Caenorhabditis elegans: one gene and its partner. The protein of the gene in region 2 interacts with the protein of the main gene of each other region in a pairwise test. Each region holds a gene or a part of one and is shown on either strand. Other genes may lie near its edges. The genes, in order: pgk-1 and mms-19.

Region 1 (14,792 bases), on a different chromosome or scaffold from region 2:
TCCGGGAGGTCCAGAAGCTCCTGAAATTCGATAATTGAGAAGTTCGCTTATTTTTCCACAATTCCCCCGTCGTTCCTCATCCAAAACTTGCCCGTTTGCCTCTATTACCGGTTTCTTTCCATTTTTTCAGTTTCATGTACAATAAATCCTTTCTCACAAATCACACAATTATCAAAATCCAAAGAAATTGACTAAACTGCCAGTCGCAGAACGTTTTGGTATTACGGTAAACACAAAATTCTGAGAATGCGTATTCCGCAGCATATTTGACACGCAAAGTATCCCGTAGCGAAAACTACAGTAATTCTTTAAATGACTACTGTAGCGCTTGTATCGATTTAGAAATATTTTCGAAATTAAAAAATGCGTTGCTTCGTATTATTTTCTTAATATTTGCTTAATTCTAGTATTCTATCGATATTTAAATCCATTTCGAAAATCGACACAAGCGATACAGTAGTAGTTTTAAGAATTACTGTAGTTTTCGCTACGGGATACTATCAAAATTTATGAATCGATCCTTCGATTTTTGCAAAATCGAAGGATCGATTCATAAATTTTGATAGTATTTTGCTCGTCAAATATTTTGTGCAATACGCATTCTCAGAATTTAAGTGTTATCGTAATACCGTAACTGTTAAATGGTCCAAATTTTTCAAATTTAATGTCCGGTCCAAAAAAATTAATTAATTCATTTTTTCATTATCACTGAGAAATTCAAGATCAAATCTATATCACATATTCACAGATAATGGCGTTATATTTAGCTCCTTCTGCACCTCGCTGAGCTGCTTTTCAAAGTGATTTTCCCAGTCGAAAGCCATGAAGAATCGTGCATTCGTGGCCTGCTCCACAACCCAAGGGAGGTTCCGGTCGACAAGTTCTTGGCGATTTCTAGAATTTTTAAATTTTATTTTCATGGTTTCGTCTCTCTTTCTGCTTACTTTGTTAAAAGCCTGGCACCTCCAAATATTCCACCAGTGACACACATTGGAAGCCCATATTGAATTCCTTCGAAATATTTGACTGTTACCTCGCCGAGCATGTTCGTTTTCTGCTCCAATGCGATGTGGGTGAAGTCGTGTGTTTCGCGATACCTGAAATTTTGAATTTTTTTGTTATTTACGTCGATTTTTAAAACCTTTGCATAACATAAAGATGCTCCAAATTATCGATATACTTGACAGTGGGCCGAGCATCTGGAGATGTGTTCAAACGATCGAGAAAGCTGAAAATTGAAGTTTTTCAATTTTTTTTTGTTGTTTAATATACTTTCACATACTTTGAATACAATTTTCCTAATGTTCCATCCGGTAACTGTCTTAGCCACTTTCTATCAATTGTTCCATTTGAAATTCTTGGTTTTTCGAGAAGAAGTCGCTTTCCAACAACATCAGATTCCATTCTTTTTCGAATATTTTCTAAAACTGGTCCAATTGCAGTAGTTTCGCCCATCGCTGCCACCATATCTCCTCTTTTTGGATCCGAGATCGCTGTTACTGCTGATCCAATCCCGAGAAGCATCCGAGACAGCGGTGCCAAGGGAACATGCGATGCGTATAGCTTTTGAGCAGACATCTGATTTCTTTTCTTTTTTTTTCAATTGGAAAATGACTATAATGTATTGGTAGATATACGGAACTCTACGATTAAAAAACTCTACGATTAAGTGAACTCTTAATTTATTCTATAGTTATACACTTTATTTATACTTCATGTTACATGGAAGATTGTGAAATCACTGGGAACAATTCAAGACTAATGTGGGAAAGTTTTTAGAGAGAGAAAGAATAAATACAAATACACTATTGGGCAAGGAATAAACAATAGAAATTAGAAAATTATTGAGCTGGCGAAAGAGCATCAACTCCTGGCAGAACTTTTCCTTCGAGCAATTCCAAACTGGCTCCACCTCCAGTTGAGACGTGAGACACCTTATCTTCCGTGTTATACTTCTTGGCGGCGGTCGCAGTGTCACCTCCTCCAATGATTGTGATGGCTCCGGCAGCGGTGGCCTTGACAACTTCATCCATCAATGACTTGGTGCCTGTGGCGAATTTATCAAACTCGAATACTCCTGCTGGACCGTTCCAGACAATCGTTTTGGCGCGTTGAATGGCAGCGGCGAAGATCTTAGAAGATTCCGGCCCAACATCAAGTCCCATGTGGCCATCTGGAACACCTTCCTCGGCGGTGACGGTCTTCGAGGTTGCGTCCTCGGCGAACTTGTCAGCAATGACGAAATCCACTGGGAGATGGATTTGAACTCCCTTTGCCTTGGCAGCCTCAAGAAGCTCGTTCACAATTTTCGCTCCTTCTTCGTCGTACAAAGAGTTTCCGATCTTGACTCCCTGGGCAACTTTCAAGAAGGTATAGGCCATTCCTCCGCCGATGATCATCTCATTAACCTTGTCTAACAAGTTCTTGATCAACTGAATCTTGTCAGCGACCTTAGCTCCTCCAAGGATGGCCAGGAATGGACGAGCTGGGTTGTCGAGGGCCTGAAAATTTAATAATAAAATTCAATATGAAAAATTGGAGGAAAAAATTACCTTGCTAAAGTAGGAGAGCTCGTTCTTGAGCAAGAATCCACTTGCACGTTGTGAGTGCTCGACTCCAACCATGGAGCTATGGGCTCTGTGAGCGGTTCCGAAAGCATCATTGACATAAATATCGCCAAGCTTGGTGAGAGACTCGCGGAATTTCTTTACGGCTGCTGAATCAGCCTTAACCTTGGCACCGGATGCATCGACTCCTTTGCCCTCCTCTTCCAGATGATAACGAAGATTTTCAAGGAGAATGACTGATCCAGGAGCTGGATCGGCGCATGCAGCCTCCACTTCTGATCCGACACAGTCGTCGAGGAAGAGAACATCTCTGAAAATCATTTGTAATTTTTTTAAAATCAGATTATACAACAAACTTTTTCAAGAGAGCCTTCAACTCTTCAGCAACTGGTTTCAAGGTGTACTTGTCTTGGCGTCTGCCATCTGGACGTCCCAAATGTGACATTAAAACGACAGATTTGGCTCCGTTGCTAAGAGCATGCTGAAATTTTGAATATTATTGAAAATGTTGTTTGAAATAAATTTGAATTGATTACCTGAATGGTTGGAACAGCGGCAGCAATACGTTGATTGTTGGTGATTTTGCCATCCTTGAGTGGGACATTGAAGTCAACACGGATCAAAACTCGCTTTCCGGCGAGGTTCAACTGGTCGATAGCCAACTTGTTGAGGGAGCTCATTTTTCTGAATGCTGAAATTGTTTGATATTGATTTTCAAAAATTTCAAAGATGGTCAAAACAGGAGAGAATGTTAAAATTGAGAAACAAACAAGACAACTATTTTGACGAGCGACGTGAGAAATGATAGAAGTTGTTGCTCGCCTTTCTCTTTTACACTGGAAACGCAGAGAGACGAGAGATCGAGCGAGAGACCGCGCATTTGGATGGGTTGAAACGAATCAAATAAAAAACACATGAAGAATAACCGAAAACACAAATATAAATGTTTGAAGATCATTTGAAATTAAGAAGGCATGAACAGTAGTGATAAAACAAACCATTTCTAGAAATTTGATCAAATATGCTGTCAAAACAACGTCACTCATATAGATAAAAGTAAAAAATCAAGAATCACAAATGTTTTAGGGAAAATCTGAATTAGAAAATTGGAAGAAATGAAAATAATACATTTTGTAAACATTTTTTCTCAATTTTGGATGAAATCGATGAAGGGAAACCTTCAAAATTGTAAGACAAAAAGGCAAAAACAAAAAATAAATGGAGACCCGAAGAACTCGGGGGATGTCCAATTGGGGGGATTACCAGGGGATTGGTCCCGCCCACAGAACCGTGGCTTGCAATACGCCCATTTCTGCAACTGCCGCACGGTTTTAAAATTATTTTTTCTTGTTAATTCTCGCTCTATTGAGAAAAATACAGTTTTAAAACCGTGCGGCATTTGCAGAAATGGGCGTATTGCAAACCACGGTTCTGTGGGTGAGGCCAATCCCCCGAGTTGGTAATCCCCCCAATTGGACATCCCCCGAGTTCTTCGGGTCTCAATAAATGTTCGAAAGTATAGAAAGCATGCAAAATTGCGTTAAGTTAAATGCTGTCTGTGCAAACATCTCCGCAAAAGTTCAAAATTTTTTGCGCGGGGGCGCGGGTCTCACCACGAATACCGTACACTTGATACCGACAGGCGGGAAAAATCATTTTTAGAGTCTGATTTTTAGGCTTTGATTTTATTCTATTTTTCTCTTTTCGTTTTAAAATTTTATTTTCTTGCGGATCATTAGAAAAAAAAATGAAAACGCGCTTGAAATAACTTTCGAAGAACTTGGTTGAAATCAATATGTACTTTAAAGAGCTACCGCTCAACTAATATTGCACGAATTTTATTTAGAAAACTACTAATAAATTCTGCGTTTAGTATTTTCTACTGTTAGGGACGTGGAGGCCTTGTTGAAATTCGTGAAAACAAGCATAAATAGATCTCGATGAAGTATTATTCATTTTTCTTTATTTCACCAAAGCGTATCGATTGGCCTCTCTTCAAAACTGCGTTTGACTTGGTTCGGCTATTATTTTATACAAAGTCTGTGTCTTTCTCCCTTAAAATCAATCAATATTTGGCTCATAATACCTTCTTGCCTTTTGAATGCGAAAAGAAAACAATAAATACGTTTCCTCTATCCTCTTCTCGTAGCCTTCCCCCTCTAACCAAACGCGCTCCGTTGTACAATGCAAAACCGCCACTTTCAAATTTAGCTCCCATTTGACATCGAGAAGTTTGCTTATATTTATTCACCTCTTAAAATTGTCTTTTTTTCAAAACGATATCAAATTGCAGAATGAATCGAAAACCGCGAACCCGCAGTACGATTGTTCCTGGTCGAGTAAGTGATTCAGATTTTTAAAATTCTTAACAAATGTTTGATTTTTACAAAAAAAAAGTTCCACATTATGGTAATTTGATTGCTTACTTATTTTGTTTATTTCAGAAAATGATCACTGAAATCGTTGCTCTTCGTGAGGCTGGCTTGGACGATACAAGACCGTCGTACTTGGAGGAACCAACAGTTATCGTCGATGAATCGATGATGAATGATAGTGCAAATTTGGAGGAGCGAGAATGGAGAAAACAGGGACTATCTGAGAAGCAGATGTTCGCTATTTTGGAGAAAAGGAAACAAACACAGCTTAACAATGTAAATTTCAGTCACAAAATCTTTTCAACACCTAATAAACTATATTCAGGCCAGAAAACGTCTCGAAAAGGAAATGTACGGAGCGAAAACCTTCAAAGAGTTGATTGCTTGTCGTGAATACTCCGAATGTGAGAGCGACAGCGAGAACACTGTGAATCAAAATGTCCGAAGCGCTTCGGTTTTTGCCATTCCGGCGCTTCCGAAACACATCAGTGAAAAGTCGATGATGGGCTCGCCAATTGCTAATTCCAGAGGGGTATGAGATGAATTTGCGTGTTCATAGTTTAATAAATCTATAATTTCAGAGTGGAAAAGCTGGATTAAGTTGTTCAACTCCCAAGAGCTCGAGTGATACGTCGATGAGGTCCTTGAGATCGCTTGATATTTCACATGTCGTCAATACCGATCGACTAGATGCTGAAAGAGTGGTAAAATTTGTTTGTTTTAAAGATATTTAAACTAACTTTTATATCGTTTCAGACTGTTCACACCAAGTCTGTCGTTATCCCAACCATTCTCGAGGAGAGAGAGTCAACACTCCAGAAAACTCTCACGATTGAGAAGAATCACAGCTCTCAGCTGCAAAAAACCTTCACTGTGGCTGAAGATGCTCCTGAAGAACTTCAGAAAACGGTGACAATCGAGAAGAATCAGAGCTCGGAAATGCAAAGAACGTTTACGGTGGCTAAAGATGCATCAAAAGAGCAATCACAGCTTCAAAGAACGGTAACGATCGAGAAGAATCAAAGCTCTCAGCTGCAAGGAAACTTCACGGTGGCTAAAGATGCTCCTGAAGAACTTCAGAAAACGGTGACGATCGAGAAGAATCAGAGCTCGGAAATGCAGGGAACGGTCACAGTGGCTAAAGATGCAGAACACTCCTCTCTACAGAAAACGTTCACAAAGCCGACCGAGAAAGATGAGTCATCACTTCAAAGAACTTTCAACGTAGCTAACAGAGATGAAAATAACGATTCAACTCTTCAAAAGACGTTTATTATTGAAGAAAGAGATGCATACGAGCAAGGAACCACGAGTGTTGGTGTGAAGCCTCCAGTACTGGCACAAAACACGATGGAAGGAGGAGAAAAACGGAGAACGTCGAAAGTCACTTCGGATGAGCGAGAACGACGTAATGCCAGTATTTCTAATCCTCTTCACAACAGTATGCTCGAAAAGGAAGAAATTCAATCGCCGGGAGCCAACTTCTTCAAACATCCCCGAAAAAAGATCAGACCGGTGGTTCAAACGCCGCCACGAATCAAGGCAACCAGCAGACTTAGTACTGAATCGAATAAGGAGCGAACGATTGAGATGGAATCGGTAGCTGAAGAACGAACAATGGAAGCGGATTCTATTGGCTCGTCTTATATCTCTCCAACATTCAATGCATCTCGAGTTTCGCCGGTTCCAGAAGTTCCAGAAAAAGTGGAGCCAATGCATGTATCGAAAGCCGCAACTCCAAAGTATGTTTTTTTTCGAATTGCGGAATATTATTCTTATTTCTCCATTTTCCAGATCGATTCGGCACACGGATAATTCTATCCGTAATATTGGACCCACCAACAATGTCGAATGTGCTCGGGCTGCACTGCTCTCAACACCGACTAGGATGGATATCGTTGATTCTGTGAATCGAGTGACCCCGGCACGACGATATGAACAGCCTACTTTCGCTTCACTCGTCAAAAGGATGAATATGAAAGATGCTAATCGTTTGCTTGAGGAAACTTCACGAAAGAATACGCCTGCGAAGACTACTGCTACAACTTCTTCAGCCGCTGTTCGCATGGTTTTGGAGGATGATGAGGAGGATCAGGCGACGGAGGTCATTGAAAAAAGATCTGAAAATGGTGGTGTGATTGTCGATGGTGAGGATGAGGCAGCAGATTCAAGCAATCGCTCCCTGAACATCGAATTGAATGCGCTGACTGTCAACGAAGAGCCTGCACATGATATCAGTGCCATTGATTTTCCAGAGGACGATACAAATGAAATGAGATCTTCTTCTGACGAAGAAGAAATGGAAGCACGTCCAGATCCAAGGAAAAAGTCGTCTAGAAGACTCGGGCTTCTTAGTGAGTGTTACTTCACAAATAACAACGTTTTTAAAACAATTTCAGGTGATTCGATTGCTCTTGGTCTTGCTAGTTCGTCGAGAAGACGCCCAAACGACACATTCGTTGACGAAACATGGTATCCTGAACCGAATTCTAAAGGAAACAGACGTCCGAGAACACACAGGGGTATGAAACTGAAAGAGCATCAACTCAGTGAGTTTTAATTAATTAATGCAATCATTCGAAACTTTAAACATTTTCAGTGAAGCCAGAAGATGCTCCAGACGGTGTCCGAAGATCGACGCGTGTCCGCGTGAAGCCTGTTCGTTCGTGGCTTGGAGAACAACCGGTTTATGTCAATTCGCCGATTAGTGGCTGCAAGCGATTGACTGGTGTGACGGCCGTTGTCATCAAGGATCCGCGTTTGTGCTATTACAGAACTGCTGACGTCAGAACAGCAACCGAGCGAGAGCTGAAAGATAAGGCCAACAAAAGGGCTTTGGCGCAGGAAAAGAAGCAACAAAGACAGAATGCAAGAAGTGGGCGACGTCACGATAGTGACGACGATGAAGAAGATGATATGTGAAGAAATAACTATTGCTCCACTATTTAGCAATGTCAAAAAACCCATCTAATCCCAATACCTGTAAATAATGCAATTTTAAAGGGAATAAAGTTTGAATCTGTCAATCCTTTTTTATGTTTAGTTTATATCTGGTGAATTGTTCCAATAAATTTTATTTATTTTTCTTTAATTTGCGCGACATCCTCCATATGCCTAGCAAAAATTCAGATTAGCGATTTTCAATTTGCTCTAATGGGTTGTATATCCGGCTGAGCCACACACACACATACACATATTTATCACTAAGTCGTCGTCATAAGCGTGATATATACCGGATATATAAGATTTGGATATTTACGAAGAGGCGAGGGGTATAAATAAGCGACGGCCCGTTGAGGTATTCATGCACGCCACCTCCCGTGTCGCCTGGTTTTGGCGGCCGTCCTGTCAATCGTTTAGTAAGTCTTTTTTGCGCGCTTTTCCAGAAAAAAATCAGCTTTTCGTTTTGAAATGTTGTCACTTTACAAGATTTTTCCATGTATTCTAAGATTCTTCTTAAAGGCGCACGGATTTATTCAGATGGGTCTCGGCGCGCAAAAAAGTTTATGGTAGTCTTCTGAGAATTCTTCCTCGTTTTCCTCGGATTTTTAAATGAAATTACTTGGTTTTTAGCGAATTTTATAGTTTTATTTTCGATTTTTTAATTGAAAATCGTTTTAAATCAATTTTCAATTCACAAAAAAGACTACCATCACTTTTTTTAGGTTTTCGTTCAGAAATATCTTTTTTTACCCGCATCTGTTTTCGCTATACATATATGTCCTCTTTTGTTGGCACTCACATGATAACCTAATGCACACGCTGCTGATAAGGTCATCCACAAATTGCAACATTTTAGTGTGTCATCAATTTTGGTATAGAGTGAAGAAAAGCGGCACAATTCCTCCCTAATTTGTGAACAAAATTCATTGAAAATGACTTATATTCAGGATTATTGTGAGTTTTTTTCTCTCCGAGATCTATGTGTAATTTGCTCACCATAGTCTAATCCGTTCTCGTGACGCGGATTGAAAATCAGGATTAGGAATCAGTTTTCGAGTGTTTTTTTTCCATTTTCTGTTGAAATTTCGCCTATGTACACCCTATTTCTTCTTCATCATGCCAAAAAGCAACGACGTAATCGGAGCCGAGAAGGTAACAAAAAACGACAGTTCATGGCCCTAAAAACCGCTGTGACACTGATAATATTCCCGTTTTTTTCCTGCGTCTCTCCGTTCTCTCCAATGTTTTCCGGGACCATTCGCCTTGCCAAAGCGGAAGCACGGACTGTGAAGGAAAAGAGTGCGGAGACAACGAGGCAAAGGCGACGTGGCGAGAATGTATGCGCAACGTGGTTGTCGAGGCTTTCCCTTCCTCCTCAGTTCTCGCCCACACACACACACATTCACTTTGATTGTGATGGATATTGTTTGCACAATTTTCCAATTCTTCTCCAGTAGATATCAAATTGATAACAAAAGCTTTTATCTTCTGCTTTGGAATTTAATTTAACAAAAAAAAATGAACATTTTGAGCGTTTTGAGAGCAGATTTGTGAGATATATGTGGTATAAAATTGAGAAAACGCTTTTTCTCAACTTATCTACAAATAACTCATTTTCCAGCCATTTTTAAAGTGATCTCCGCTCTTGAATAAATAATTTTGCGGTTTTTTTCTCATGAAAAAACAAATTTTTAGTAACTGCAAACAGGTGTGCGCCTTTAAAGAGTACTGTAATCTCAAACTTACGTTACTGCGGATTTTTCATCAATCTAAATTGCAATTGCCGTAGTTTTTCTTTAAAAATATATTTAAAACTAAGAATATCATTAAAAACACTTAAATAAAAATCTCGATTCCGCAGCAACAAAAATTTGAAATTACAGTACACTTTAAAGATGCACAACTCTTCGCATTTTATTAAAATTTGTCGTGTCGAGACCGGGTACCGTATTTTTGCAGCTGTGTAATAGCGAAACCAACAAAATCAAATTTTCCTTTCCATCAATTCCCCACTTCAAAATGTTTGAATTTTCCCGCCGCAAGTAAAACAATTTTAGGCCAAAAGCTTTCTCTCTTTTAAATTTCGCTCAAACGCGCTCTGCTGTCACTCCATAGCGCCGCTGGTTGAAAATAATAAACTTTTTGTGTTGTGTCACGTTATTTTTTTTGCGCGTCGAGTCTTTCTCGATTCTCTACTAACACTTTGTTCATTTTTAACAACAAAATTTTCGTGCCGCCATGAAGCTAACATCTGTCATATTCAACAGTTTCGGTACATTCAGAAAAGAAAACTTCTCGATTAAAAAAAAAATAATTCGATTTCGTTTCAGTTCGAAAAATGCCGTGCCGGCCGATTGTGCTCTCCGGACCATCGGGTGGAGGAAAAAGTACGATTTTGACGAGAGCCATGCAGGAATACCCAAATAGCTTTGCTTTCAGCGTTTCTCGTGAGTTTTTGGCAAAATTTGATTCCAAATTTCGAGAAAAAACCTCATTTTTGCTCAAATCTTAAATTTTTAATCACCATAAAAAATTTTTGAGTAATTTTTGTAAAGTTCCGGTATAAAATTCGTTTGTCTGGGCACATTTTGTGTATTTCCAAAAAAATTAAATAGTTTTACAGACACAACGAGACAGCCAAGAGCCGGTGAGGAGCACGGAAAACACTATTACTTCACGGAAAAGGAGAAGATGCAGGAAATGATTAAAAATAACGAGTTTCTGGAGTTCGCCACGTTTAGCGGAAATACTTATGGAACTAGGTTGGTTTTTGGAATCGAATATTTTTGGAACAGAACAAAAAAATTTATTTTTATTTTTACAGCAAGAAAACCGTCCTAGAAATCGAAAATAGCGGAAAGATCTGCGTTCTGGATATTGAGTTGCAAGGAGTTCGAAACATCAAGAATAGTCATCTCGACGCCAGATACATTCTGATCCGTGCCCCATCCATCAAGCTTCTCGAGGAAAGACTCAGAGCAAGAGGAACCGAAACCGAGGAGAGCCTCTCGAAGCGTCTTCAACATGCATCTGAGGATTTAGTTGAAAGTGAGCGTTTTTTGCCTTTTTTGAAAAAAGAAAAGTAATATAAATTTTAATTTAATTTGTTTTCAGTCGAAAAAAATCCAACGCTCTTCGACAAAGTGATTGTGAACGATGATTTGGAACGTGCCTATAAGGAATTCGTCGATCTTCTTCGTGATGATCTCGAAAAAACCTCCAAAAAATAATAAATTATTTTTTAAAAATTGTCTCTATTCAGTCATTCCTCCAATTTTTTCTGTCTTGATGAACTTGAGTGTCTTCTGGTTGTGGTAGGTACTCTTTATCTCTCTCTTTCAATACACCTCTTTCAAATTTGCTTTATTCCAACAAACTTTGTTCCCTTTTTTTATTTATTGCTCCCTCCTTTTTTTTTGCAATTCAGTTTTGTCTTCTTTAGTCAACTTCTCAAGTTATTTTCTTTTTGTCTCATTCATTTCATAATAATTATTTGATTTCGTATTAATACGTATTGAATACAATAATTTTGGTTTTTAAAAAACTGTTCCAAATGGCAGATACTATTTTCAGTGAGAATTCGGATTTTTTTAGAGAAAAAAATCTGAACTATTTTCATAGATGGCTTCTGCTTCACGTCTCCCGCCGCTCCCGGCACTACGAGATTTCATCCATATGTACAGGTTGAGAGCGAAGAAAATTCTTTCGCAGAATTATTTAATGGATATGAATATCACAAGAAAGGTTGGATTTCTGAAATTTTTTATTTGCAAAATTCCAAAAAATTAATTTAAAAATTAAAAATTTTCCGGTTTTTAAATCAAAAATATTACGGGAACTCAAAATTCTGAAAATGCGTACTACACAGCATATTTGACGCGCAAAATATCTCGTAGCGAAAGATACAGTAATTCTTTAAATGACTACTGTAGCGGGCTCGACAATTAAAAAAAAAATTTTTTTTGAAAATCGAGCCCGTAAATCGGCACTAGCGCTACAGTAGTCATTTAACTAAATTTTCGCTACGAGATATTTTGCGCGTCAAATATGTTGTGCAATACGCATTCTCAGAGTTTGTACGGTAATTTTAGTTGAAACAGAGCGTGCTCCTTTAAAAAGTGTGGTAGTTTCAACATTTTTTCTTGAAAAATTATAATTAGTAAGTGAAAATGTATTTAGATAAACAAGAAAAATACTGTAGTCTTTAAAAATTTTTAAATTTTTTTTGAAAATTCAAATTTTAAGTCCCATTTTTGCAACTAAACAACATTAAAAAATTTTTAAAAAATTCAAATTTTAAGTCCTATTTTTTCAATTAATTTTTTTTAACTTTTAGAAATTTTTTCCAACATTTCGAATTTTAATTCCCATCGCAATTTTTGAAAATTTCAAAGAATCAAATATAAAAATCTTCTATAATTCATTAATTTTCAGATAGCAAAACACGCAAAAGTGATCGAAAAAGACTGGGTAATCGAGATCGGACCGGGTCCTGGCGGAATTACACGAGCAATTCTTGAAGCTGGAGCCTCGAGGCTTGACGTCGTAGAAATCGATAATAGATTTATTCCGCCGTTACAGGTTTGTCATTTTTGGAAATTATAAATTATTATCAAAGGGCAAAGTGTGTGTGTGTGAACTGATAAGGAATCAAAATCATGATGACGGAGCGTTTTACCGGAAAAATGTTCTCGGAGAATTTCGAAATTAGTTTATTTTGAGGGAAAATGGAAAAAAAAAAATGAAAAATCGAATTTCAGCATCTCGCGGAAGCAGCCGATTCTCGAATGTTCATCCATCATCAGGATGCACTTCGAACGGAAATTGGAGATATTTGGAAAAATGAAACCGCGAGACCCGAATCTGTGGATTGGCATGATTCAAATCTACCTGCAATGCATGTCATTGGGAATTTACCATTTAATATTGCTTCACCGCTTATTATTAAGTAAGATCTGAAAAGATGTGTAGAAATTAGAAAATAAATAAATAAATAAAAATGTTTGCTTAAAATTTGGATAAAAAACAAAAAATCCAATTTATCAACAAAAAACCAAACAAAAAATCATTTAATTTTAAACGGGACAAAACGGATAATTTTCAAAAAATATTAGAACCGAAGAATTTTTGTTGACTTTTGTGTTTATTGGCCCCAAAAAACCAAAAAAGCCATGTTTCTTTAAACAAAACCCCAGAAAAACAAATAACAAAAGCCCAGGTACCAAAAAATAATAAAAAAAATTGAAATTTGCGAAATACCAAAAAAAATCCAAAAAAATAATTTTGATGCTCGAATTTATTTAAAAACAATCCTGAAAAAGTGAAAAAATGTTTGAGATCTTTTTGTGGTCTAGAAAAATAAAAAAAAATTTTTTTTCGTCAAAATACCAGCAAAAAAAAAAACAAAAATTAAAATTTGCGAAAAACCAAAAAACACCAAAAAAAATTTGATGCTTGAATTTTTTTTTCAAAAAAAAAACAGTGAAAAAGTAAAAAAATTTGTTGGGTTTTTTTTTTTGGTTTTTTTGGTAAAAAAACCGAAAAAAGTCCCAACCCTGGTGGGAATTCAAGCCTGCAAACTTATATTTTTATAGTTCCAGATTTTCAAGCAAAAAAAATATTTAGCATTGCATGCTTTTATTTTAGAACCCTTTTTTTTGGTCTAGAAAATACCAAAAAATACCAACAAAAAAAAACAGTTTTGGTCAAAATACCAAAAAAAAAGCCTAAAAACTCCCGGCCCTGTACGTGATACAGAATTTTCCGTGATGTATCAACCATTTCTAGGTATCTCCGTGACATGTCATACCGACGAGGAGTTTGGCAGTACGGTCGAGTTCCACTAACATTAACTTTTCAACTGGAAGTCGCCAAACGTCTGTGCTCTCCGATCGCCTGTGATACTCGGTCTCGTATCTCTATTATGTCTCAATACGTGGCAGAGCCTAAGATGGTTTTTCAGATTTCCGGTAAGTTTTTTTGCTCAAATTTCAATCCAAGAAAATTCAAATTTAGGAGCGTCGTCGCGAAAATTTTAGTTTTCCTATGACCCTTAAACACAACTTTCTGGACCCCTTTCGGTATCCTTTTCCAAAATTTATAGGTAGTAGGGCAGCGGAGTTAGAGCGGAGTTACAGCGGAGTTTTAGCAGTCGATGAGAAGTTCTCGTCTGCAAAATGCCCCTCACCGCCTTGAGAACTTGAAATTCCCAATAATTAGAAGCATTATGTCATTACACGGCAGCCGGCAAAAATTGATGTCGCGTCGGCGACATTAAACATGCGCGGAAAATTAAATAACGACTTTTATTGCAACAGTTCGCATGCCAACGCTACATTGTTTTTTGTCGGCTGCAGGTTATCTATAGATATGTTCTCCGAGTAATCATTATTAGATCCTTCGGATGGAAGGGGCCACGGGTCTCCGTACCCGTCAAAGCCCAGTTGGAGAGGATCTCAAAAAATCACGCAACTCCTCGAAGGCATTTTAAACCAACTGAGCAATGCTCCCCGTCCCTTAATTTTGGAAAATGATTCTGAAAAGGATCCAAAAATGAAAACCAAGATGAAACCCAGAATTTTGAACAATTTGAATCAAAGATGTCAAAGATGAAAAATCGAAATATCGAGAAAAATGTTTAGAAAATCAAAAAAAAAATGCTGTAAAACACAATTTGATGAGAAAACGTGATAAGAAAATGCCCAAAAATTCAAGCAATTCTCAAAAATCGAAAAAAAAATTTTTTTGAACTAAATAAACTTTTGGATTTTACAGAAATATAAAATCTCTCTTGATCCTAATCAAAGCTAAATACAAAAATCGAAATTTTTCGTCAAAAACACGAAATCAAACTGAAAATTTTGTTTGATTGCTTTATTTTTAATTTTAGGAAAAATTTGAAAAAAGG
Region 2 (18,748 bases):
ACTTATCACTTACAAGGTATTGTAATTCCAATAAATCCAATTTTGGATTGGCTGTTGGTTTTGGACTTGATATCTTCAATTCTTTACTCTCATTTCCAATTCCATCTTCTGAAAACGCGGCAACTGCAACCTCGAGTTCGGAGCATGGATCGATGTTTGTCAAAGTGCTCAGATCGACGGTTTGCTTTTCCGTAATCTGATTGAAAATTTAATTTAACAAAAAAAACCCAAAAAAAAACTGTCGCTCACCACAAAGTCGTCACTGGTAAACGTTTTACTGTTCAATGTTCGATATCCGATATAATACATAACAGCTCCAGGCACCGGGCTCCACGAGAGTCCACGGACACCTTTCAGTGTCAGATTCGTCGGTGCTGGTAGTGTTTTTTCAGGGACTAATTCTCCATTACACGTGCTCCAGCAAGTATTGTCTGACTGAAATGGAATACATATATAGGGAGAATATTGAAGATTATAATGAATAAACTTACACATAAGTTTTTGTTATTAAGTTTCTGGCATTGTGGTTTGCAAGCATCTAAAGACTGTTGTGTAGAATCGCTCTGAAAACATTTAAAACAGTTTCAGATAATTTTTTTCAAAACAACACAAATTTCCCCAGCTACAAAGAATTTTAAATTTCCACAGTAAAAACAAAGTGTCCGGAATATTTGTTGCTATACTTCTGACGTCATAGTGTTTCAGCAAAGTCAATATTTTTACTTTGGCTCGAGTTACTCCGTGTATTCCTTGTCCTAGAATCAATTTGTGGTGTCTTGCAGGTGGTAGACGTTTTTGTAGACATACAGACTACCTTTTGCAAAAAAAGAATAACTGCAGAATTCAGAAATTGAACTACAGTATTGTTTGTAAATTGCCAAGCTTTGCAATATTTCGATTTTTCAAATTAAATCAAACAAAATGTGTAGTGAAACGAAGATCTGTTCAGGCGTATTTTTAGGCACGGGGCAGGCGGAAGGTAGAAATTTTGGTACCGACGTTTTTTGTGAGAATATTGCCCTAAATAACAGAAAAAATCTCAAAAACTGTATTTTTCTAATAGTTAATTTTTTTAAAGTATTTATATATTTTTTAATTTTGCTGAAAAAATTCGAAAGGCCCAAATTATTTTTGAATTTCCGCTCAAATGAATGACTTAGTTTTGACATTTCCCTGCTAAATTTATCATTTTTTCTTAATTTTTGTTGATATTTGATTTGATTATGGCAAATTGTGGCAAATGTTAAGACATTTTTTTTTTGCAAAAAAGTAAATAATTTTCAGTCTTTCAATTTTCCTGAAAAAAAAAACGGAAAAGCAACACCCTTCATTGAGACAGTTTCTGTAATTTGGGGCTGAAACTCCACAGATTTTACCCCACAGTTAAAAAATCTTATTCACAAAAAGTGCAATTCAGTTTCGTTTGTATTTTGAAACCTAAACAATTCGTTTCTCACCTTTTCAACAAACGCGACACATTGTGCAACACATCGCAGGAAGCATCCTTCAGCTTTCGACACCAATTCCTGGTTCGAGATACAAAAAAGTCCGGTTATTAATACAAAAAATCGAAGTTTCATTTGATTTGCATAGGTATAGGTTTGATTCTGTAAGTTGAGGTATTTTTTGACAAAAGACAGGGCAACGTTGACAAAAGAGTGCAGCCATCAAAACAAAACTGCTGATACAGTCTCTTTTGAATACAAAAATGGCATGGGCAACAGGAAACCTTTTTGTCAACTTTTTAGAAAAAGGAAATTTTGAAGACTTTGGGAAGTGTTACGCAAGAATCTGATAAAATTGGAAATTAAGGGGCATAACTGAAATGGCGGCAGAGAAGAAGGAAAAGGACAGTTCTGCGCGAATTCACCCAGTTTATCTTGATCGAAATGCAATAAAAGATGAAACAGATGCGATTTAGATACCAGGAAAGCAGAGAGATATGAGAGACGGAGAGATGGATACAGACAGATATGTTATGAAAAAGTGGTAGTGGACAAATGTACTTGAACTTGACTTTTGCGAACTGATGTGAGGCCTATGTTAAAAATGAATGGCGGTTGCGGTGTTAATAAAGTAGAGTGTCAGATGTTCAAGTTTTCAAGCAAATTTCAAACTTTTCAAGGCAATTTTTAACAAAAGTCTATAAATGTTACAATATTTATACTTTAAATGAATAATTTAAAAAATCTGCAAAACCGAAAAGCTAGAGGCAACTGTTCTATTTTCCCTATTAGTCTTGAACCCTCATTTCTCCACTTTAACAGTTTATATCTTGGTTGTCGATGGCTTTATCAAAAAATGCTGAACTATTAAAGTATATAAAAATATTTTTCACATACTTTGTCAGTTGCAAATTTCTTGAGAAAACCAATGAGAACCGAAATATAAGCTGCCAAAGCGGAGTAGGGAAAATACGGTAATTTGTAAATTCAGCAGACAATGTTTAAGAAATTTTTCAACTTATTTGTAGGCTACAGTTACGTAGGATAAAAATGTTCGTAAAATAAACAACAGTGCACAAATAGAGTCAGACGATCAAATTTTGAAATATTGTAATTTTCAAAAGCTTGAATTTTTAGAATTAAAATAGGTAAGAAACTTTATTTTTAAAAATGTGTGTAAACGATTTGGCAGGGAATTTAAAAACTAGACACTAAAAATTAAAGCTGGTAGATTTAGGGGTATGTTTCATTAAAATTTTCCGAAAAAAGTATACTTTAGCTGTTCAAAAACAAAGTTGGAAAAGGTGTCCAATTGCCAAAAAACACCGAATTTTTCAATACTGTAAGTTGTTTTTCTTTGACAGCTCATGGATATCACAATAAGTTCGTTTAGGTTTTACCAAATAATTTCCAACTGGCAAAATATGTGCAAAATATTTCTCTACATTTTAGCTTTAAAATGCTTTTCAGTAAATATAAGGTGAACCGAGATATAAGCCGTTAAAGTAGAAACAATTTTTTTAAAAATTTGTTCTGCTTTGAGACAAATTTCTTAATAATAGATAACTGTATATTTGCGGTCCAGGTAAAAAAAAGAAAAAAAATCGGACATCAGTTTGGATCAAGAGAGAACTAGGTCATCAAGTTAGCAACTGATATGTTTAAATGAAACAAATTCGAAGCAAAAAATTCAGAAAGTGAAAACCTATTAGGTTAAAATCCAACCAAATGTTTCATGAACACTACCTCACCAACTAACAACAGTGCTACTGCTTGATAATCAACTGATTCGGCGGGGAGTGATGAGTCATCGCATGGATGATTTGACGTCAATAACTGGTTCAGTTGGCGTCAGTAGAGGTCGTATTTCTATCAATACTACATATCACGAGTGACGAGGGAGAAGCTATCGGGGGGATTCCGGTCTTTGCTCAGAGTGATTTTAGGAAAGACGTGGGATACTGTAGGTAGAGAATTCTCAAGATAGTCACAATTTATTGTAACCTAGATCTTTATCTAAAAGTTGTGAACGTCAATCAATAAGTGATGAAAAGTGGAGAGTTTCGCCTAACCGCTAATCATAAAAGAAAGCCCCAGGCAGAGAGTGAAAAGAACAGTAAATAAAAATGAAGAATCGATTTGTGCGCAATGGCAAAAAGAGCGAGAACCTATAAGAGAGCGAAAGACTCAGTGTTAGGAAACATCGAACCGGTCGGTCACATCGCAATGCGCGCGCATGTTCTCGAATCGGTATTGTTGTATTTTGTGGGGTGAGAAAGAATAACGGCCTGGGTACTGCTGGGCATCAATCATATTTTTTCTTTGCCTATTTATTCATGTTCATGATTATGTGATTCTATTATAATGTTTTGTGTGGGAAATCAGTTTATTTTCAACAATACAGTTCAAGCTGAGAATTTTTAAGGTTTATTTTTTGAGTTGGCAGGAATGTGAAGTAGGTCTACGCCAGGGTGTTGTCGAAATTTTTTTTTTATTCCAGAAATAATCGAGATTTAAAAAAAAATTTGCTTATCATGTTTACAAAAGACATGAGAAAACTTTTACTAGGAATTCCTACAAAACTAGGAATAATAAAAATTTCCAAAACTTAGGGATATTTTTCGAAATATCGATAAATCGAAAAATTATAGGCCTTTTACATTACCCAGTAATGAATTCTTTTATCCAATTTTTTTCGTCCTTTCAACGAATGAAATATAACATAGACGCGAAATTTCGCGCCAAAAATACGGTAAAGGGTCTCGGCACGACAAATTTTTGCTAAACTCGAAAAGTAGTGCGCCTTTAATGAGTACTGTAGTTTCAAACTATCGTTGCAGCAGAAATTTGATAGTTTTCCGCACGATTTTTTAAAATTATTCAGTTCGTTATTAAATTAATACACTTTTATTTGAAAAATATATAAATATTGTGAAAACTTCGCATAAACGAAAGTTCTAAACTACAGTTTTACTTTTTTTAAAGGCGCACACTTTTTTAATTAAAAAATTATCGTGTCGAGACCGGGTGTCGGTACTTTCGATGCAAAAATCGAATTTTTTTTCAACAAAATTATTATTTTGGTGAAAAAAAAACGGGAAATGGGGTACTGTACTATGTATAGTATACTTAAAGGCGCAGGCCTCGATATTTAAATTAGAAAGAAATCGTGGCGAGACCGGGAACGGGAAAAATCAAAAATGTTCACAAATGCGTAATACATTTTTGGGCTCTCTAGGGTTTCACAAATTATCGCTTTTTTTAATGTCAGAAAATCGATATTTTCCCGGAAAATCAATTTGAATCTCAAAACCTTTCTCAAGATTTGCAAAATGAGTCGATAACTTAACTACAAGATCTGAAAAATGTTTCAATTCTTGAATCTTTAGGACATTAATGAATATTCTATATAGCAATAGAAGTAGTGAATAATAAAACTGATTCATAGAATTCGAGCAAAATTCAATACAAAATACGACGAACAATGAAAATGAAAAAAAAAACAACAAAAAAACAATTTAGGACAAAACAAAAGTATATCTAGTTTGTCGTTAATAACCCGGAATTGAGTTGATTCGACGTCCATCTACTTGGTGATAACCATCTCCCTGAAAACAAAAAACACATTTATCATATTTTGGTCGACTCAAACACCCATTACCAATTGTTTTTCACATCAGCCGCCATCATTCGAAGCAACCTCTTTTTGTGACCCAAGATTTTGTTGATTGACGTGACCACAAGTGGCACTTCAGAATGCAATGACTTCGGTGGCTGTCGTCGCGCCAAAATGTTCAATCCATTCAACGCATCCTCCAAGTTGGTCTGAACAGCAACAAAAAAATCAAATTATCGGACGTTGAAATACACAGAAATACCATATTCGAGTCGTTGTCCCTTGTAATGGAGCACAGATATTTGACGACTGTTCCGAGATCTTTTGGCTGAAGAGGTTCAGAGATTGTAAGAAACATTGGAATAGTCCGTGTGACGTGGCTTGGGATGACATCTTCCATGCCGATTGTTTGAATTAGAACTGGCAACAACTGAAACAAGTTTCGATGGGTTACTGTAGTTTTCAATTAGTTGGACAGGAGAATTGCAGTATGTATAGGTTAGGGGTGGGTGGAAAACGATTTTTTCCGGCAAATCGGAAAATTGCCGGAATTGAAATTTCCGGCAAATCGGCAAATTGTGGTTTTGTACATTTTTTTTTGGAAATTTCAGAGTTTCAGAATTGAAAAAATTTTCCGGCAATTCGGCAAACCGGCAATTTACCGGAATCGAAAATTTGCGGCAAATCGGCAAACTGACGAATTTGTCTACAAAAATCATGAAAATTTCCGGCAAACTGGCAAAGTGTCGAATTTCTCGACAAAAAATTATGAAAATTTCCGGCAAATCGACAAACCGGCAATTTGCCGAAAATGAAAAATTTGCGGCAAATTGGCAAATTGTCGAATTTTTCGACAAACAATTGGCCGAACGGCAATTGCAGCCCACTACGGTACCCGGTCTCGACACGACAAATTGAAAAAAAATGTGTGCGCCTTCAAGGGGTACTGTAATTTCAAACTCTCGTTACTGCGGAGTTTTCTTCGTTTTTTCATAGAAGCATCAACGAGAGTTTGGAACTACAGTACTCTTCAAAGGCACATGCCACTTTGTATTAACCAAAAAATGTGTCGCGTCGAGACCAGTTACAGTATTCTTGGCGTAAAAGTCGGAAAATTTCGCATTTGGGTAATAATGTCATTCTCGAACACAAACCATAGCGAATTGTTTCTTCAGTTGCTGAAAATCCAATGGAACTGCGAATGTCAAAAGATGTGGTAGCATCTCGACAAGAACGTGCTTCTGGGATCCAGGCTCCTCGAATTTTCTTTTGAAAATCGGAACAATTTGACAGAAAATTCGTTGTCTCCATAGAGGGCTTGCGGTCTCATATCTGCATCTATCAGGATTCGAATCGAAACTATCAAAATCCAAAAGATATTCAAAAGGGCTTTCAGTGCTTCCAGAAATGTTTGTCAGAAATTGCTCGAATGCAGATAAAGAATTTGGTGCATTTCGTAATAATTTCGCCTTGATTTCCGCGATATGGTGTCTGGAAAAGTGTATTTAATTTATACTTTTAAAAATTAATTTTTTTTAATTTAAAAATTAAAAAAAATCTCAACTGTTCAGGAATTTCACTATTATTTTCGTTTTCCGCCTCCCTGTTGCAAATCGCGAAAAATAGCTGACGTATCGTCCGTTCTGGCAATTTCAAGTTGGCAATAGTTTTCAAATCATTTGTATTCTGAAAATTGAATCTATTGTTTTATTATTTCACATGAGCCAGTTAAATTGCCTTATTTTGGAGATATGCGAGTCGATACTTTTGATTGAAATTGTCAAGTGATGATCCTTCAAGACTTTGATATCTGGTTGTTGTTTGATTCATAAACTTCTGATGATCATCTTCAGAAAGTAGCAGGGAAATTGATTGCATCAGATATGAAACGCTCACAGGTTCATTGCAATCGGTCTGAATTATAATGCTTATTACAGTTTGATGCAGAATACGGTGGCCGTGGGTCTCGACACGATAAATTTGTGTTTAGTGCAAAAGAGTTTGCGCCTCACCCTTTTGCATTTAATCAAAATTTGTCGTTTTTAGATTTTTTTTTTAATCTAAAATTTTTGTTTTTTTTTAGTTTGTCCGAGATTTCGAATAAAAATTTGATTTTTCGAAAAAAAATCGCGCAAAATTTTGCAAAAAAAATTTGGTAATTTTTCTTCTTTTTATACAAACTGCCATTGAATAGATTTTTCGATTTCTTCTGGAAAAAAAGGGGGAAAAATAAAATTTTATGTTTGTATTAAATATACGATTTTTTTCGATTTTCCGCAAAATAGAAAAATCAATTTTTTAAAAATCAAAAATTGAAATGTTTTGTTTGTTTTTTTCCTATGTTTCTTCTCATCAGCATATACAAAACTTGACAAAAAATTGAGTTTTATGGTAAATTTTCTGAATTTTTTTTTTCCATTTTTTGATTTTCCGGAAAATCGAAAATTTTTGTTTTTCACTTTTTAGATTTTCCCTGAAGAAAAATATAATTTTTTTTCGAAGACAGACCGGGTACCGTACTTTTGCTGCAATAATTGCAAAATTTTGCATCTGGCTTACTTTGTACAAGACTGATTCAAAAACTTCAAATTGTTGGTGGAACAATTGAGGATCTTTTTTGCATTTTTCCATCATTTGCACATAACAAATTAGATAACTGATTTCTGTAGACGATGATATTGTAGATCCAAGTTCATCGACAATCTTATTTTTCAATAAATTCCATCTTTGTGAGCAGCTAATTGCACATAGAACTGGTAGAACTTTCATTGCGTCTGGAAATTTTTCAATGCCAAATTTTTATAAAATAAAAAAGCCAACTCACTCCAAGAATTAGTTTCATTGTCAGCGAGAATAATCTCAACTTGATCGAAATTTTTTGAAGAGTATATTCTGATAAGTTTCAAAAGACTTTGAAAATCTGAATCAGTGTCAATTGGTGTACGAAGAGCAAGTGCGATATAGCTTCGGCATTGGGATATTAATTCATCGGAGGCGCAATCCGATTCAAAGTAAACCTGAAAGAATATTCAATTTTTAAGGTGGAATAGAGAAAAAATAGGAACCAAAACGATAGAATATAACTGAAAAAAAATTATTAAACTTTTAAATTTTTTTTTCAAATTTGTCATAACAAAAGTGAATACTGAAAAAAATTTCAGCATTTCGGCGTTTTTGTTCGAAAATTAATATGATTTTTTTGATTTTTAATTTTGTCTTCTTTTTTTAATTTGAAACACCGTTTGTTAATTTTTAAAGCCTTTTTTGAAAAAATATTGAAAACAATTTTTTTTTCGGAAAACGGTGCTGCAAAACAATTATCTATTTACAATTTTTTATTTTGCAAACAAAAACTGTATTGAGTTTCGAAATTCGCGCGTTTTCTGGCTAAATTCAATGGTTTTTATTTGATTCAGAACAATAATTTTAAACAGCGTTTTTCAATTTTTCAAAAAATTTGCTGAAAAACTGTGAATAAAATTTAAAAAATCGATTTGCAGGCTTTTTTTTGAAGTTTCCGAGAATGTATGATTTTTTTTTAGCAAAGTTTGGAGCAAAATTAATTTAGAAAATTATATAAATTTTTTAAAAGAAGTTCTTGGCCATTATTGCCGATTTTCTATCATTTAATCTTTTAATGAACATTTTTTGAAAAGTTAAAAACATACAGATGCACATTCATAGATTGCAGTAATAGCTTCACGTGGTTTAAATTCCCGAGCTCTAGAGCATGATTCGAAAATGCTTTGCTCAAAAACCGCGAGTGTTTCAATTGAGAGTTCTTTGTATTCTGAAGCGAGTTGTATCCATTCTACTAGATATTCAAGACCTTCTTGTACGATATCTGCTCGGTTTCCAGCTGCATTTACACTGTCGCCTGCAAAAAAATATAATTTTTTTTGGAAGTTTATAGTTCAATGCCAACCTTGAATCAGGTTGAGAATCCAGGCAATAACTTGATTGAAAATTTGACGTGAATTCTTGTCTGGGAGACTTTTGAATGCGCTTCGGAGGAGTGTTAGTGCTTTCTTGCAGAGCCCCATTTCTGCTTGTAAAACGAACGGCTCAGAATCTGAAATTCAAAAAAAAAACAGTACAATTGACAAAAAAATTCACCTTCAACAATCGAACTAACAATTCCATCCAACGCTTTCGAATTCGTTTCAGAAGATTTTGTGCACAGTTTGATAACCGCTTCAAATGCCTGCGAAACATATTTCTGCATTTCTCCCTTATTCTTCGGGTTTAGTCCAATTTTTCGAATTCCTCCGATTAGTGGCTCAATAAGTGATAGGTTCTTCTTCTGTGCTGGAAAGCGGTTGTAAGCTAGGATCTGAAAATATGAATTTTTTAAAATCAAAATTGGTGATATTTAGAGTATATAAAAATATTTGCTTTTTCTGAAAATAAATTTTATTCCAGTTGGAGTAAATAATTTTTAAAAAAAGTGCTCAAAAATAGTATTTTTCCTGCAATTTTCTATTCTTTGAGAACTTTCTCAAATGTTTCAACTGAAATAAAACATATTATAAAGTCTGTAGAATTGCCGCGAGCTCCTGGAAGGAATTATGATCATACCAAAAGGTTCAGAACATCTTCGTATTCTTCATCGGAACAGTCATCGTCATTCAGCTTTTCGTCGATGAAAAGAAAACAGAATGGAGCGAAGGATGGGGATGATACGAGACATGAAGCACACGAAGCAGCGAGATATTCTCGTGTAATTGTATCCGTTTTTTGCTGGAAAAATAGGATATTGAAATTGTGAAATTAGGCTTAAATTTTTTTGAAAAATTTAGTCTGAAATTAGGTAAATAAACATTCAGAAAAACCGTCAAAGAAATAAGAAAAAATAGTGAAAAAAAAATAAAAATCCCTACATTAAAAACCGTGATTTATATATCAATTTTGGCTAATTCCCCTCCAAAATCCAATTTTTTAAAAATCATTTTGGAGGGAATTTTGCGAAAATTGAACAATCGCGTTTTAAAAGTTGGATTTTTTCGTTTTTTTTTTCCAGAATGCAAGACTATTTTGGAAGTAAATCCCCCATTCAGGATGTTCCATCGTTTTCTAGTTTACCGGCTTAAACTCGACTGGAAAATAGCAGGCTATCGTCTCAAACATGTCTTCTGTGAATGGTCCGAGTGTGAAATTGTTCGAAACTTCCAGGAATGCCGAGAACATGTGGACGAGACATCTCGGATCACGCTCTCCGGATACACTTTTCATAAATGTAGCCAAAAAATCTGGGCCGAGGCCTTTCAAGACTGAAACAGAATATAAACATATAAATAGTTAGAAATTTGAATATTACATGATAATCGATATTTCAAGAACCAAATGAGAATCTCATACTGCAGCTGCCGTTCCTTTTGTGCCCAACTTTGAACATTTCCTTCTCTGCAAAATAAAAATAAAATTATTATTACATTTGAAAAATAGTTTCTGAAGAAAAAAACCCACTTAAATAAAACTCGAATAAGTGAGACTTCAAAATTATCCGGAAGATTTTTAGATTTCAAAATTAGGTGATGAACTCCGCGGATCACGGCTCCGCCAGTTAGCGCAGACGATTCGATTGAATTTATAAAGTAATTCAGAAGCAGCGATACTGAAAATTTAAAGTATTATGTCAAATAAAATTAAAAATAATTAAACCTTCATCTTTTTGTAGAAAATCCATCGGAAACGTGCTGATAACTTCAATTATTTCTTCAATCGCTTCTTCTCTTTCTTCTGGAAAATCCGACACCATTTTTGTTCTGAAAAGCCATTTTTTCAGTTAAATAATTTTAAAATTGAACTCTAAAACCTTTTAGAAGTCATAAAATCAGAAAGAGTAGTTGATTTTTCAACAACGAGCAGGCGATACCATTCCTGCGTCGATGAATCTGTATCGTTTTGGTCAATTTCTGATCCCATCTGTAAAAATAATTCAATTACTCGCTGAAAATTTTAATAATATAAAAAATTAAGTTTCAAAGAAGGAAAGGTGCTTCGTTATCGAAGAATTAAGTTGCGAATCGATTGAAAATGAGAAAAATTGAATATAAACGCTACAGTATAACTTAAAGGCGCATACCTAACGCTGACTGGCGGGTCTTGCCACGAAAATAATTTTTCAGGCACAGAAATTAACGAAATGCAGTTTTATAAACCAAATTTACTACTTTTACTATATTTTTAGTTGAAAATAAAAAGAGAAAAACATTTATTTTCTAAAAACAGTAATTTTCCTTTAGTCAGTTTATTTCTCATTGAGATATTGTGAACTCCTGTTTTAAAATCAAATGAGAAAAATTGAACACAAATTTTAAATTTACATAAATCCCCAAAAACTATCAATATTTCCAACCTAGACACACTATAATTGAATAAGATTCTCGTGACCTTCGGACATACAGTTTGTCAAAGACAAGCACTCCCACATTTGCCGGTTAATTGTGATAACCCTATCAACTTGGCTCCGTCTTCACTCTCACTTGCAATTGCACAACTTCTTTCTTTTTGGATGTAAGTAGCAACATTTTATCATCACTCTATTGGGAAATTTTTAAAACAAAATTTCTTCAATACGATTGCCGGTCTCGCCACGATAAATTGTAGGTACATGCGAAAAAATAATGCCCATTTAAAGAGTACTGTAATTTCCATCTCTCTTTGTTGCAGGATTTTTTGTCGATTTTTTTAGTTGTTCAATACAAATAAATTCATTCGAAAACTGTCATGTCACGATAAACAAACAAATTTTGGTATTTAACAAAAATTTGTCGTGTCGAGACCTAAGCTAGAATAGTACTATAATTTTTGAGCTTTAATTTTTTCAAGTTTTTTACAAAATTTTTTTTTCTGTTGATTAATTGATGTATTTTTATCGGAGATCTATAAAAAAATCAATGAAATTTTCGAAGAAGCCAAAAAAGTACTGTTGATACTACAGTAATCTTCAAAGGCGCACACCTTTCGGCATTTAACAAAAATTTGTCGTGTTAAGACCGGGTAATTTGTTAGGCAAATATTTGAAAAAAAACTGCTTAAATATTTCATGAAAATTCTGTTATCTTTAATCAGATTTTTAAAAAATTATTATCAAATTTCAAAAAATTACCTAAAATAATGTCTGAAATTCTTCTTTACTCACGCGAACTGCAACTTCCAGACATTAATTGAGGAAATTTCAAATTAATCAATAACAATGAATACGATTTTCAGATTAAACGAGTATTTTCCTACATTTTTATTAATTTTTTTGATTAATATTAATTTTTAAAATGAAATTTTTGGATAATCCTACTAAAATAAGCATGTCCCGCAAGGCCCTATTTCAAAAGTTTAGTGCCTGAAAAATCAATATTTCGCAAGAACAGTCTACCAATTTTTCCAATTTATACTTCCGGCAATTGCCACCAATTCGGTGATCTAGAAAATACCCATATAGGCTCTACAGTACCTTCCCTTATCACCCACATCCAATTTTGCTATCAGTTAGTCTTCAATCACACTTAGTCTTTGAACAAATGAACTCATAACTCTCACAAGATGTTTGCAACTATCATATTGATGTCATTCAGTTCTCATATGAGAAGGCGGGCACATTGTTGTATATTGATAAACCACCCCCATTTTCCTCTTCTTCCAGCAAAAAAAAATAAAATTAATATTGTCTCAGACGCTTGTGAAACTGGTGCTCTCAATTGAAAAGCACCATTGACTTCGCAGAAACTGGCAGTTCATTTGGCTTTCGGATACTTACAACCATACGCTCACAATGTCTGTAAGCGTACGAATTGTTCTGATTGTAATCATTGGTTGTGGAATAACGGTTCAGGTAAACTAGACAGTTTATAGAAGCTGACTAATCAATTATTCATTTTTTCAGAAAGAATCAGAAAAGGGGGACTCGTCGATAAAACCGTCTATAGCAATCGTCGGCGCCGGTATTTCCGGACTATCGACCGCGCGTCGACTGATTGAACTTGGAATTGACGATTTTGATATCTACGAAGGTCTCGACCGGATCGGAGGCAGAATTCATGCCATACCGTACAGTAAGTGCTCAATACTGTAATCTTAATCCTCAAAATTGAAAATTTGCAGAGGATGGATTTCTACAAATGGGAGCCCAATTTATAAATGGAGCACAAAACCCGTTGTACAAAATTGCCAACCGTCTTGGACTTCTGGCCGATGTGGTATCTGACACTGCACATGTCGACAATGCACACTTTGCTTTTGGAAATCAAAATGTTCAGGAGTGAGTTATTATTCATTTGTTTGTTTTGTAGTACTCGTGACTCTGCCACCTGTATGTTAATTTTAGTGAATCAGTTGATCATTACAGTCGGTCGGAAATAAAATTCAGAGATAACGCTTATAGATTAAAGACTATTTCTAAATAACCCCGTTTATGCACACAAATTTCTGTGACCTATAAAAAATTAACGATTCTAGAGACTATAATATAATTTCAACAAATATCATTCAGAAAAGACATCAAGACATTCTTGGACTTTACTTCGAAGCTTGATCCAAAATACAGAAGCATCGCAAAACATGATGAGAAGACTGCAAGACGCTACACTTTCAAAGAAATCTTCACTTTGGATTACATGCATTTCTTGAAGAGCCAGAATTTTACGGATCAACAGACAAATGTCTTTGATTCGCTGGCAAGATCATTCAGATCGTATTGGGAATTCGAGTGGGCGGCTGATTGGAGTACTGTAAGTGATTACTTGAATATCAATTATGGGGACGCAGAAAAAACGTTCCGCCTTTCAAACGTTGGGTCTCGTTAGGTAGCAAACTCGTGAACTTATAGTCAGAAAGTTTTAAAGTATATTTCCGTTTTTTTGGTTAGGTTCTTCATCGTTTTTGATAACTTTTTGGGCTCGAAATTATGTTTTAAAAATGAAATGCATTTGAAGTTTAAATGTGAATAAGGTTTTTAATTTTAATTTTTTCGACAAAAATTTCGACATCAAAATAATTTAAGACATCAAAACCGGAAAATGCTTGGAGAAATTGGCGAAAGCAATTGAAGGCTTTTGAATTGAGCCAATCCTTAACGAGACCCAACCTTTTTGGGCGGAGCATTTTAATTTAGTCGTGGAGCGCGGTTGCATCCTGATTTCAAAAGACGCGTTTCTACGTTTCCGTAATATACTGGCAGGTGATTGGGACAATTTTTGAATTTTTGAAATTTTTTGAAAATTGTCTATTCCAGCTGAGTGTTCACGTTCTAAAAGAGTGGAATGACTATGGACCGGAATGTGAATCATTTGCCACTAACAAAATTGGATTCAAAGCGATTTTGGACGATATTGCCGCACCGATTCCAAGAAAGGCATTCAATTTCAATAGTCGAGTTGAAAATATCAATCTGGATTCAAACACTGGAAAAATCAAATTGACAGTTTCCGATCGTGCAGTTCCAACGGAATATGACTATATTATTGTGACTTCTTCGTTAGGAGTTCTCAAGAAATATCATCATAAAATGTTCACACCACCCTTGCCACGACAGAAAATTGAAGCCATCGAGAAAATCGGATTCGGAGGATCTTGCAAGGTGTTCTTCGAATGGGAAACTCCATTTTGGTCGAACAACACCTACTCCATCGCTCCTCTCCCTGTTAAGGGAATGATTAGAGATAAACTGGATGCATTTGAAGATGAGACTACGATCCTTCAAGTTGTCGACTGGGCTCCGAACGTTCTGAGTGCATGGTATGCTGGTAGAGGTCATCAGTTGGTGGATAACATGTCGGAGGAAGAGTTGAAGCAAAGAATTACAAAACTGATGCGAGACATGTACAACGACAAAAGTATTCCCGAGCCTAGCAAGATTATCAGAACTCAGCTGACCAAGAACGAGTTGCTTCTAGGATCCTATTCCTACATGACTCAAGTGCAAGCGCTCTCCCATATTTCTCACTCTCAACTTGCGATTCCAGTGAAACTGGAAGGAAGACCAAAGGTTCTGTTTGCCGGTGAAGCAACTCATCACAGGTATACTATTTCAGAGATAAGAGAAAAAAGTCTAAACAATCAATTTCAGACTATTCCAAACAACCATCGGAGGTTATTTGAGTGGTCGCAGAGAAGCTGATCGAGCTGTCAATGACTGGTTTGGAAGATGGAATCAGACCACAAAATTGGAAGTAGTGGATGAAACATTGATCAATGATCAGAGAAACATCCCAATCATTTCACAACCAATAACTTCTATTTAAAAATAAGATTAATCAGATACCTTGAGGATTTAACTCAGTTTTTTTATTAAATTTTCGATATTTTCTAATAACGTTGAGTATCAATAAACATTCTTTATTTGGTTTTATCTAGGCAATTTATACTGATGGAATCCTGAGTATGATATTAATGAGATCAAAAAATATGTAGATTCAATGATTTGAAGTTAATCCTCAATCCTCAATCCTCTTGAGATGGAAACGTGAGACATCCTCCTGCACCACCACCAATTCCCATTCGTTGTTGAACATTTGAAGGTCTCGGACCGAGCGATGTTTCCTTCACTAGAGAATTAATTTCATGCATTTGAAGCATATCCAGCACTTGCAATGATTCATTCTTTTTTGCAGCGGCTCTCTGAAATATTTATAGAATTTTTTAATCAGACAGATCGAAAGTTCAACGCGTACCCGAATCGATGGCATTCGAAGAATAATTGAAGCGTATCTCTCGCTTGCCGCTTGCGGATTATAAGCCTTTTGCAAATGACGAAAGAGCACTGCAAGTAGTTTCTTCTGTTCTGCTACAACATTTCTTTGTGATGCCGAATCGAGTCCTTCGGTGTCTGGATCGAAGAACATGATTGCTTGAAGTAGAGCGAATTCTGTCGTGGAGAAGTTCAACTGGCGGAATGGTTTCATTACAAGATCGATCATCATTGTGAGGACTGGTGTTATTCCAGAAAGACTCGAATTGCTGAAAATCAAAATTTAATTGAAGTTAAACATGGAATATCGTCAGTAGGGCAATAGTTTGAAACTACATTTTCATCTCTTACCTCTGAAAAATTTTAATTTACAGTCAAAGTGTTGTAATTTTGGAAGTCGACCAAAAATAATTTTTTTCTTCGAGTTTTATACTTTAATTTTGTATTGATTGTACATAACACTCTGGAGGTCCGAACTTGCATCAATTCTCGAAATTGCACAAAAGCTCTAAGCTGTACATTGTTGAAATTTGGCAATTTGCCAAAAGTTGAACAAAACATAAACCCAAAACTTAAAATTGAGAAAAATCTAAGATCGTTTTTAAATTGTTTAATTAAGGTATTTTGTCATGTTGGACTATATATAATAAGTGTAATTAGACTAGGTCCCCACTGACCATACCTTCCAAAATTAACAAAATGCCTAGGCGTCTACTAGGCACATTAAGCCTGCCACCGATTTTTCTCATAATTCCTTGGTAACGTCAGATACATCAACTATAAGAATATAGTCTAAATACACATTTATCATGACTGAATATCACAATAAAACACTTTAAAAATTTTGAAAGCTTTCAAAAGTGACAGCTAAGCTTTTGGTAAGTTAGAATGTTCTAAGGTGAATATTTGAAACATAATTTAAATGTAAAAATCATAGACACAATTTTAGGTTGACTTTTGCAAAAATGGCTCTATAGATTACGGTTTTGTGTTTCATTATTTTATAAATTTCAAACTAGATTGTTTTTCAAAAAAATAAAGAACCCACTTTGCACTTGGAGACTGAAAGTTTCTCGATTCCAACATTGAAACAGTTTTCATAGATCGTTCATTCAAGTTGCAGGAGGATGGACGACCCTGTTTAAGAAAAATTAACTTTATGTACTTGAAAAAAAAAAATTTTACCACACAAAAGTCTCGAGCTTCAAAGAAATTGTGCATATCTGATTTTCCTTCGTGTCCAGCTGTTGGATGACCGTAATCTTGAGGGATCCACGAAGCATAGTCTGCTGGAAGGTTGCCATATTCAGTTGGAAGTTGAATCATTCCTTCTGTCGATGGAACTTCTAGTGGTTCTTTCTTTATTTCTCTGAAAAAATATAAATTGAGACTTATGGGTTTGAATATCTATACCGAATTGGAAGATTCAAAAGTATTTTATCATCAGAAGAATTCTCTCCAAACATGATCCCTTTGTTGATAGACTGCTGGATACATGCCGCATGAAGCAAGTTTGTCAAATCATCGTGTACATCTTCCCCATTGCTCACTAAGCTTCCAGCCACCGATGAAACCCTGCTACATCCGGATCCGGAGTTTGATGTCACGATATTTGGAAGATCCGGTCTCTTACGAACAACATCCGATTTCATGTGCTCTGGAGTGCGGAAAGCTTCACACATGATCATGAAAGAAGATGCATGATTAGTTACCATGGCAACCTGAAAAAGTGGATGATGGAAGAGGTAGAGGAGAATGTTTAGATACTTACTTTGTCAGCGTACGGTAGGGATCTAAAAGTGGAAAATGTCTTCGCCCAATCTATGTATAGAGCTATCAAACGTTGCCTCCAGAATGGCAATTTATCATCTCGATTTGTGAGAACTACATTGTCTGACCACTGAAATAAGTTGTAAGTATTGTGGAAATTTGGAAATAGATCTAAAAAAAGTCAGAAAGCGGTGAAAACTAAGTTTGCGGCACTTTTCAAGAAATCTAATGCACTGTCGCATATTTGAGCATCTACAATGTTGGAAGATGAATATTTTAAATATATTTTAAACATAAAATTGGAATTTTTTTGATTGACGAATTCCAAAAAATTGGGAAAATAATTTTTTGTAAAGTTTTAAAATAAATCGAATTTGGAACTAAAATTAAAAAGTAAATTTTAATAAACTTCGGCGTATTTTTGTACCAAAAAAAGTGAATTTTCCAATTTTGAAAAAATCCCAATCATTCGTTCAGTCTTATTTTTATAATAGTAGATTTCATGAAAATTTTAAAATTTTTAGCTCAAGCTGTTAGACGTGATTTTATACATTTTTCATATTACAAAAATTTAAATACTTATGCAAATTTTTAACAGTATATGACCATTGGGGTTCTGAATTTAATTCATTTATAATAGACCAATATGACCAAATTTTCTGGATTTTTTGAAATTTTCAGTCAAGTTTTGGTAAAATGCCAAAATTTTCAGAAACATTTGAAATTTTTTGGTCGACTTTCAAAATTAAAAGAAACTATTTTAATGCACATAAACAATACCAAACATCTATTGACGCTACTTTATAAATCATTTCTTCAACTCACTTCACAAGAAATAGGTTGCATAAATCGACTTGGAGCATTGAGAGCATCTTCTAACGTTGCATAGGAATGCAAATCGGCGCATCTACTCAAAAGTAGTGTGAAGTTATTTTCCAACGTTGTAAGCCTATCAGCAATTGGATCCAGACAATTCTGAAATTATGCATTGCATTGTTTTTGGAAATTTCTATTTAAAAGTTACCAAATCAATTTTAATATCCTTCATATCCATACTCTCGGGGCTCTCATCATTCATTTGTGGACTTCCTGAAGATCCATCTCTGATATGTTCTGAATGATGAACACCTCCTTCCATATCATTGTCATCATGTCTTCTTTTTCGTTTTGTGTATCCAATTCTATCACGGTCGTTTTGAATTGCTGAATAGATTCAGATTTTAAAAAAAATTA

The links.
Region 1: the proteins of mms-19 (region 2) and pgk-1 interact in a two-hybrid assay, tested with the Caenorhabditis elegans proteins (2 studies listed by BioGRID).

What each region holds. Positions count from the first base shown.
Region 1 is NC_003279.8:3,856,007-3,870,798, reverse strand, and holds pgk-1 (putative phosphoglycerate kinase), read right to left. Parts: upstream 3,259-14,792; 5' UTR 3,248-3,258; coding exon 3,104-3,247; intron 3,049-3,103; coding exon 2,924-3,048; intron 2,878-2,923; coding exon 2,553-2,877; intron 2,502-2,552; coding exon 1,842-2,501; 3' UTR 1,690-1,841; downstream 1-1,689. Other genes in the region: coq-4 (Ubiquinone biosynthesis protein coq-4, mitochondrial), read right to left, coding at 735-894, 945-1,097, 1,142-1,228, 1,283-1,578; hcp-4 (HoloCentric chromosome binding Protein), read left to right, coding at 4,862-4,906, 5,012-5,218, 5,268-5,474, 5,524-5,646, 5,699-6,684, 6,737-7,296, 7,342-7,491, 7,542-7,864; guk-1 (guanylate kinase), read left to right, coding at 8,247-8,301, 10,216-10,332, 10,509-10,647, 10,710-10,933, 11,000-11,115; tfbm-1 (Dimethyladenosine transferase 1, mitochondrial), read left to right, coding at 11,507-11,629, 12,320-12,466, 12,646-12,833, 13,673-13,854.
Region 2 is NC_003283.11:5,506,586-5,525,333, reverse strand, and holds mms-19 (MMS19 nucleotide excision repair protein), read right to left. Parts: upstream 10,987-18,748; coding exon 10,877-10,986; intron 10,827-10,876; coding exon 10,723-10,826; intron 10,676-10,722; coding exon 10,528-10,675; intron 10,465-10,527; coding exon 10,379-10,464; intron 10,332-10,378; coding exon 10,144-10,331; intron 9,802-10,143; coding exon 9,640-9,801; intron 9,395-9,639; coding exon 9,178-9,394; intron 9,134-9,177; coding exon 8,987-9,133; intron 8,939-8,986; coding exon 8,730-8,938; intron 8,079-8,729; coding exon 7,886-8,078; intron 7,836-7,885; coding exon 7,621-7,835; intron 6,976-7,620; coding exon 6,799-6,975; intron 6,748-6,798; coding exon 6,626-6,747; intron 6,553-6,625; coding exon 6,216-6,552; intron 5,492-6,215; coding exon 5,324-5,491; intron 5,271-5,323; coding exon 5,107-5,270; intron 5,054-5,106; coding exon 5,032-5,053; 3' UTR 4,876-5,031; downstream 1-4,875. Other genes in the region: hir-1 (receptor protein-tyrosine kinase), read right to left, coding at 14-196, 250-435, 492-563, 1,458-1,580; hpo-15 (Amine oxidase domain-containing protein), read left to right, coding at 12,833-12,892, 12,944-13,112, 13,162-13,318, 13,550-13,787, 14,291-15,075, 15,125-15,299; Nuclear hormone receptor family member nhr-47, read right to left, coding at 15,499-15,675, 15,729-16,014, 16,794-16,882, 16,931-17,114, 17,159-17,466, 17,517-17,645, 18,341-18,490, 18,540-18,718.